2 linked regions of the Oryza sativa Japonica Group genome follow. The protein of the gene in region 1 interacts with the protein of each later gene in a pairwise test. Links are inferred from orthologs where the notes say so. Each region holds a gene or a part of one and is shown on either strand. Other genes may lie near its edges.

What was found.
Region 2: the proteins of U1 small nuclear ribonucleoprotein 70 kDa (region 1) and 6,7-dimethyl-8-ribityllumazine synthase, chloroplastic interact in binary tests that used the Arabidopsis thaliana proteins (3 or more experiments, as listed by UniProt). The link is inferred for Oryza sativa Japonica Group from reciprocal best matches to the Arabidopsis thaliana genes U1-70K and COS1.

Annotation. Positions count from the first base shown.
Region 1 is NC_089044.1:1,015,612-1,019,916, reverse strand, and holds the start of U1 small nuclear ribonucleoprotein 70 kDa, read left to right. Parts: upstream 1-1,438; 5' UTR 1,439-1,522; coding exon 1,523-1,624; intron 1,625-1,724; coding exon 1,725-1,839; intron 1,840-1,999; coding exon 2,000-2,079; intron 2,080-2,792; coding exon 2,793-2,868; intron 2,869-2,949; coding exon 2,950-3,014; intron 3,015-3,113; coding exon 3,114-3,176; intron 3,177-4,305. UniProt on the Arabidopsis thaliana protein: Mediates the splicing of pre-mRNA by binding to the loop I region of U1-snRNA.
Region 2 is NC_089038.1:25,376,205-25,380,447, forward strand, and holds the start of 6,7-dimethyl-8-ribityllumazine synthase, chloroplastic, read right to left. Parts: upstream 2,856-4,243; 5' UTR 2,747-2,855; coding exon 2,626-2,746; intron 2,522-2,625; coding exon 2,394-2,521; intron 1,999-2,393; coding exon 1,903-1,998; intron 1,173-1,902; coding exon 1,077-1,172; intron 459-1,076; coding exon 380-458; intron 251-379; coding exon 204-250; intron 1-203. Other genes in the region: la protein 1, read right to left, coding at 4,163-4,243. UniProt on the Arabidopsis thaliana protein: Catalyzes the formation of 6,7-dimethyl-8-ribityllumazine by condensation of 5-amino-6-(D-ribitylamino)uracil with 3,4-dihydroxy-2-butanone 4-phosphate. This is the penultimate step in the biosynthesis of riboflavin.

The sequences.
Region 1 (4,305 bases):
TGTTTTTCCATTCTTTCCCCTTTCGATTGTAAACTCATGGTTGACACATATATGTACAGTTCAGATTTATAAGTTGCAGCTATGCCTTTAATGGATGAAAGTGGGCATATATGTAATTTTGAGATGGTTTTAAAGTGAGTGATTTATTTTCTTGTGCTTGGTACAAACTAACAATATGCATGTAAGAAAGGTTTAGGATAGGGTAGATTTACTCCAAAGCTGCTTGCAGCAGATAAGTTTACACTACAATATTTAGCCGACAGGTTCATGGGCAAGTGTTTGTGAGTTTTTTGGTCCAATTTTTCTAAAATAATAGGCCAAGTCTTTTATTCTTAGATGAAAAACAGGCTTTCCCTATTGTCTTCTGAGGTTTAGCTTAAAAAAGCCCACGAGTTCATGAAAAGGTAGTTGTCAGAACTGAGAGGTATATAGCCTTCCTTGGCTTGCTAGCCTTCAACCTATCGTTAGGCAGTAAAATGGAACGATGGCCAGTTCTATATATTATGGCTCTGCTGTGCTTATACCATTTGTTATTGGAGCATTTCATCCCTAGGTCTATAGCAGCGCTCCTCTTCATATCCTCATTCCCATGTGCTCATGAGGTATGTGCGTCGATTTGCATCCAAATAATATCAATGATGGACGTTTGGTAACTAAATGTTAATTCTTAATTACCACAACTAAAATATATGCCGTTTAATTGCAATCAGGTTGTCCAATAAACTTGAAGAAGATATAGGTAAATGGAAGCCTGATGATATCATGCAGGTAAATAAAGGCCTGATAAGATCAAATCAAGTAGGAATTTGTATTTTTTTTACCAAAGATTAAATCAAGTGGGAATCTCGTTTTTTTTCCCTTAAAGTGCTTATATGCTAATAGGGTAGATTTAAGAGGACGTCACGGGCCCAATCAGGCATGCGAAAAATCACGCGTGAGGGTGTTGCGGGCCCAATCGCAGAGGAGCACAGAGGCGTATGTGGAAAATGAACTCAGGCGCAGGTCTGCAAGCGGCAAGGGGCACGTAAAAAGGTGCATGCCTAATTACTTCGTACGCGTATGATTTAATAGAAACATAAAATTAAAACCTATTCCAATACAGATGATGTACCAAAATTCTAACGAAAACATCTTCAATTTTTATAATAGTAGAGAAGGGATTTGCATCATCAAATATCGCCGTAGCGTTAGCACGGGCATTTTACTATTTATAAAAAATGTGACACACGATTATAGCCCCCGTGATTCAATAGCGGCAGCAAAGATCCCTGCAACGCTCAGGCAGCAAAAGCATACACTAAGTCACCGACGCATGGGCCCGTGCGAGAGGGCGCTGACGTGTGGGCCCCACATAAAATTCTTCCGTCTCGGCTTCCCCCTCTTTTTACTTCTCTCTCTCCTCCCCTAATATCCCGAGAGAGAGAAAGAGAGATCCCCCAACGCTTCGCGAATCGCAAATCCCTCTCGCTTCTCTCTCTCTCTCTCTCCTCGCGCCGCCGCCGCCACCGCCGGCGCCGCGGCCATGGGCGACTACGGCAGCGGGATGATGCGGGGGAACCCGGACGGCGGCGGGATGCAGTCCCGCACCAAGGGCCAGCGCGTCAACGTGCAGCAGCTCAAGCTGGTAAGCCCCCACCCCCCCCCTAAACCCTAGCTGCTATAACCCTAGCTCCTCTCCGGATCCGCCTCGATCTGAGATCTCTCTCCATGGCTCGCGACCACAGATGGGGCAGGGACACCCGACGGGCCTCACCCCCAACCTGCTCAAGCTCTTCGAGCCCCGCCCGCCGCTCGACTTCAAGCCGCCCGTCGAGAAGCGCAAGTTGCCGGCCTACACTGGTATATTCCCTCACCCGCCTCATCTTCTATTCTATCTGTTCGGTTCTAGGGGGATTATGAATATATTTTTTTCTTTTAATTTTGTCTGTTAGATTTATTTTGTGGATGAGTTGCTTCCTGATGGATGGACTCACTCTTGTTGTTGATTGGTTGGTTGCAGGGATGGCGCAGTTCGTGTCGCAGTTTGCGGAGCCCGGTGACCCTGAGTACGCGCCACCCGTCCCCACATGCGAGACCAAGGTATACTGATACTGCTGCAAATTTGTTTTCTGTATCAATTTTAACTCGTTTGAAGCGCAATCGTTAGTGTTGCATTTTGTTTTATGTCTCCGTAGTGCAAGATGTTCCTACTTCTTATGTTGTCGTGACCATGTCGTATTTATGCCAATGGTATACTTTTCGTGTGGCCATAACCATATTGCATAGTTTCCACAACCATATAGTTGCTTTTTTCAATCGACAAAATCAATTATTTGTAATGGTGTCAGAACGCTTGCTGGTCTCTGAACAATCAGGATTTCTTAAGACTGTTAGTATTAGTATGTGAGCTTCTATGACTACACCTGCTGGAAAGTCACTCACAATTTGACTGTTTGAGCATTGTTCCACTATAGTCAGCACAGGAAAATTAGGTCCAATAAGTTCTACCTGAAATTGCGAGGTAAGAGTTGGAGTCAAATGTTCCCACCTCTGAGATGAATATTTCCACTTTCACCACATGAAAACTCTCTCAAAATAAGACATGTGTAGCTGTCCAAACATTTGTTTGCCAAAATTCTTCTTCTGGTAATTGTATGTGACTATGTCAAATACGCAGCTTTTTGTTGGCACTACTGGCTTTACTCTTTTTTTTTCCATGTCTGTTATTGTTTCTAGATCTACTGTATTATTCGTGCCTATTGTCATTTCATCATTCCAGGTCATGACTTGGTGATTATGTTTTATTTACGCAGGCTGAAAAGAAGGATAGGATCCGCAAAAGTAAGCTTGACCAAGGTGCGGCTAAGGTGGCTGAAGAGCTTCAGAAATGTAAGTTCTTTCTTAGCTGCTCTTCCCTTTGTATCATATGATAGATACTGATAACATCATTGGTGTGGTTTCTTAATGTAGATGACCCACAGAGTGACCCCAATGCCACTGGAGATCCATACAAAACACTCTTTGTTGCAAGACTTGTAAGTTTTTTTGTTGCATCATTCACAAATTATTTTGAACTACATAGTTGGTATTATTTTTGTATGTTACTTCCTATTGACTCCAGCAAACGTTTACAGAACTATGAGACGTCTGAGCATAGGGTCAAGCGGGAGTTTGAAGCTTATGGGCCTATTAAAAGGGTAAGTACATGTGGTAAATTCCAGTGCAGGTGGACTTATTCCTCTTTGGTAAGGTGTTTGGTTGTTCTAATTCATCTACAAAAACATGTTTTAAGAAAAAGCTGGTTCACTGCCATTATATATTGCTTACTTGGAATTTCACAACAAGGTGCTAAAGGATGAAAGGGATATCTTCTATCTCTCTCCGATTTTCAATGGGCAGAATTGTCTGTAGTATTTGTTTCTAAATCAAACAAAATGCTGTGAAGTCTTCTTTTTTGTAAAGAACAAAAATAAGTTATTCTGTCAAGTCTTTTTTTTTGCAGCAAACAAAAATAACTTCTTGTTTTTGTCAAACAGTATTCATAGCACTCTCATTTTCAAGTTGGGCAATACATTCACTGTTTTGTGTGTAAGCATGCATTTGCTGTTTGCTTCTCAATAATGATGTTGGTTGCATTTTGCTAAACCAAGGAGAAAATAACCAAATAATCTTCTCAAATTATTTAAATAACACTTTTATCTTGTATTGACATGTATTGGTTTGGGTGGTTCGGACAGTCTTTTCTTTGTTATCCATTTCTAAACATGTGGGCTCTGTTGATGTACTTAGTGGATAAGTAATATAGAGCTCCAGCAGAAATTATGTCTTCTGGTAATTTTTGTTAGACATATTATCTGAGTTACTGTTGAGCAATTTAATGTGCGAATGGTTGGTACAACCATTAGAAGACTAAAAAATCCTGGGAAATACAAATACACACAAGCAGGTATTTTTACTGCATGCAGCCTTGATGTTTTTTTTTCTTAGAACATCTTTTCCCTTTTACTCTCGGAAAAGATCAAACCATTTGCTTCTGCAGTAGGCACAATGTATCATTTGTTTTCCCATTCTATGAACTTGCTTCTCGTGTGTATTAACTGGAGCAAACAAGCTTGAAGAATGTTGGCGATGGCACAAGTAAGCTTAGATCACTTTATGCTTTTAAAAGCAGCTTATCTGCAGGCATGGGGTTTCTACATTCTGGGATTTATTAGGTTGCTGGTGAGTACAGTGTTTATGTTACTTTCCCTGAGCTGTTAAAGCTAGTTCTGCTTTCAAGTGCTGCTTCTCTTGGAGGAAACAACAGCAAAATATAATGCAAATGAC
Region 2 (4,243 bases), on another chromosome or scaffold:
GTGGTGCATCTTCCATTAGAGTTAAACATAAGGGTTGGGAACATGACAGCTACATTTCGAGTAAGAAACTTTCAAAATCCATTGCTTCTCAAATTACTATGGTTCAAAAGTACAGAATAACTACTTGACAAACGACGAGTTATAAATTGGATATGGAATAATAGAAACTTTGGTAAGATACATGTTAATGAATGATGAATTACCTGGTCCATGTCATCACATGTCAGAACACCAAATATGCATGGGATCTCTGTGCAACAATAAAAAAATAATAAATAATCTGCCATAAGTTCCACTGAGAGTTACCCCAGCTGAAAACAAAAACTTACAGAATTAGGTTCCTACAGGCACTACACCCAAAGAGGTGAAAGCAACGTACCAGCAGACAATCCAGCAGACAGTACACCTGAAGCAGCAGAGTTTGCAACAGCATCGTAGTGGGTTGTGTCACCTCTAATCTGCAAATTAGCATAAGGAAGACTTCTGTAATCAAATCGCACCAACTACTGATAACTAAGGGCTTGCAAAAAATAGATATAAAGGTATTATCATGCCAAGAGCGGTGGGATTAAGGGAAAATACTTTGTGACTTAGTATTGTTAGCTAGACGGGCCTGTTTGGTAAAGCTCCAACTCCTAAATTTAGCTTTAGGAGTTGGGTCTGGAGTGGAGTTGTGGAGCTACCTAAACCCAGCTCCACAACTCTAGTTCATTTTGTGAGAGAGCTCCACCAAGCTCCACTCCCATTTTTGGTGGAGCTGGAACTGTTTGGCTGAGCTCCAGCTCCAGGAGGGGTGGAGCTAGAGCTGGAGCTGTGCCAAACAGGCCCTTATGTTAGTTATGATAAAGCTCCTAGTTGAATTTTGTCCAGTGTAAATTAGACATATGATTGGCATTGTTTAAAAGACACCCTGTAAAATATGAGTTACATAAACATTTCAGAACTCATTATTTGGCACACTGCACCAGGCTATATAGTATCTGAATCAGATAATTATGATGTGTCTGGAAAATAACCTAGACACAATCTTGGAGCCATGATATATGGTAATATGAACAAAAAGGCAAACAACTTACCACAGCGCCAATGCACAAAATTGCATCAAACTTTCCAGACTTCCCAAGCTTTTGTGCCGCAACAGGAATTTCAAAACTGCCAGGAACACTTACAACCTAAACAATCATTTGAATTAGAGTGAGGCAATGTGCACCAAAAGTTTCTGAAACTATTTAGAAACTTAAACAAACTAAGGCTGTTTACCAATCATGGATGAAGTCTGAATTCATATGTTTTGTGGATCACTTTATATGTCTGATATGCAACAAAGGTTGTACACAGCTTAAGTGCGTACCATGCTAACATTAGTTAACCTCTACTTATGAATGCTACATGTGTGAAGTTCATCTCATACATCGAAAGGTTATTCACAATTACAAATCCATGAAACATGCTGATAATATGTAGTTCATACATTGTCAAGCATGGAACAAAAGGAAAATAGTTAATGGGCCTAGAGAAACTGCATTACATTTTTTACTTCAGAACAGTATTTCTGAACAATGAAATAAGAAAGGAACAGGTGGATGGGCATGAAACATATATTAACCCTACAAAGTAGGTAAGTCATCCAACAAGAGTGCTATGCATGGTCAATACTTCATGACAAAAGTATTTTTTACCTTAACATCGGGAACAAGGGTAACAAAACAATTTTGTATGCATGCATAACGGTTACAATAGTGGTCATTATCTAAAAAAATAACGGTTACAATAGTGGTGATATGAATGATGTTCAAGACTAGTTAAGAAAAATGCTCGAACAATGATATGACATTTTGATGGCACAGGATTACTCCAATCTTTTTGAAACAGAAATTCACTCAGAACAAGAAAGATGCATACTGTTATATTTTCTTTTTTGACGGAATATCTCTCAAATGTCTCAAGAGCTCCCTGCAGTAGCAAGTTGGTGACAATCTCATTGAACCGTGCCACAACCTGTAGGACAAAAAACAACAACAACAATAACAACAACAACAACGTTAGGCAGTTGAGGAGAAAAGGTGTCGAGATTTTTCAGTAAACAATGGCGTTTCAGTAAAGCAACATTTTTTAGACCAAACAACCAGGTGTTTTCAGCATTATCAATAAAGCAAACGAATCAAATAGTTCCTCTGGGGAAGGAAGCTTTACTAGTAATCAGCTAGAAATTGGCCAGGAGCAATGTCTCATGTGAAGCACAGAAAACACACAATCAAACTTCACGAATCAGTAAGAAATTGGGCAGGAAGCTATCTCGCATGTCCATGTAGAGCCGCGTCAACTCAAAGTTAGCCCAATCTACAGTCATACACAAGTCAACAATGGGAGAAGTGGAGGACACACTAACTCACCACTCCAAACCTGAGCCCCTGGGTGTTAGTCAACGACCCCATAAGCCGCTGGTGCCCGCCGCCGGCGGCGACCACGACGGGGCTAACCCGCGAGGCCCGAGCGCCTGCAGCCAACGCGGCCGGCCGTGCTGCACGTAAGTAGACAAATTACAGAGAAGAGGAAAAATGAAATCAGGACGAGTAAGAAAAGACTCAGATGGAGAGAAAATTTGGTTGTCCGGCGGGCGCGTACGGGAGTAAGGGAAGGAGACGGTGGCGGCGCGCAGAGGAGCGTCGGATTGCCGCGAGGAGGAGGAGGAGGAGGAGGGCCTCGCGGCCGCGGATGACGTCGTCGCGGGGGCAGCCGCCGCCATCGCCGCCGGTGGGGTGGGGTGGGGTGGGGTGGTGCAGGGGAGGAGACGGCCCGGGAAGTCGGGGGGAAGATCTGGCTGCTCTGATCGGGTGCGGTGCGGATGACGTCGCGGCGTTTCCCTTCCCTCGGGCCCGGGTTTGTAGGTGAAAAGAAACCCACGTTCGTTTGATGTCCAAAAGTTACTCTCCTCCGTTTCATATTTAAGTTTGGCAAAGTTTATAAATAAAATTATAGTAGTACTTATAATCTCTATCTCTATCTTCTCTACTATTATAAAAATTAAAGATGTTTTTATCAGTACTTTGTTACGTCATCCGTTTATGAGTCGGTTTCTAAATCCGTTCGCTTTTAGAAATACAAAAGGAGTTGTATAAGAAAACTCTCATGCTAACCTTAAACGAGCGAACTCCTAACTGCAGCTCATGATTTTTTAAAAGGAAAATGTACGAATTTTTTAAAAGGAAAATGTACGAATTACACCCCCCTGAACTATTGTGGTAGACTGGTAGTATGATTTACCCCCCCCCTAAACTACAATATTACAATATTGGACATTTGACACCCCCAAACTCTTAAAACCAGATAAATTACCATCCTAACTCGATTCGAAGCGGTTTTCAGCCTACGCCTACAGTTAGAAAAACAAATACTGTGGGACCCACTTGTCATCGTTTTTCTCTCTCCTCTCTTCTCTTTCGGTGAACAGAGGAGAGAGCACCCGCTGCCGGAAGGGATGGAGGCAACTGCGGGCAGCAGGGGGGAGCCGAGGACGAGGGTTGGAGGGGGCGGAGGCAGCTGCGAGCAACCGACAGGCAACAAGGGCGGTGGGACGTGGAGCGAAGCGGCGGCGAGATCCTCCTTCCCCTCTTCCCCACCGTCGCGGCGGCACGGAGCTCGAACACACCTGCGCTGCTGCGGCCTCTCCCTTCCCCTTCCCTGTGCGGAGCCCACTGACCGGTTCCCCCTCCTCGTCTCACGCCGCTGCCAACCGCCCGCCCCCGCGCGCTGCTGTCCGCTGCCAGCCACACACGCCTGCTCCCGCGTCGCTGCCGCCACCGCCCTCCTCCACAGCGTCGTCGGCCGCCCGCTCCGCCTCTGCCTCAGCGGTACAAATTATAACGAGGCATGGTCTCATTGTCAGTTGTCTCGACTCTCGATGTATCAGATATTCAGATGACGGAAGTATTAGTATATATATCAGATACATGTAAAGGATTCATCCCAAGCTTTGACCGAACAAAATTTTCCGTTTCATCATGAGTTCACCGTTTCTTACTTCCAAAGAGCATAGCTCACGACAAGAAACACAACACAAAAGGTTTGCTCCCAAAGTTGTGGAAGCAAGCAACGGAGCAAACATTTCCGTTCCTCACTAGAGCTCATAAGCTGAGGTTACTAGTATAAGACGACGAGGCCTTTAAGCAGCAGCATCGACTTTTCGAGCTTTATTTGCCCTTTCATGGCCGTCCGAGTGGCGACCACGCTTCCCACCGAAGTG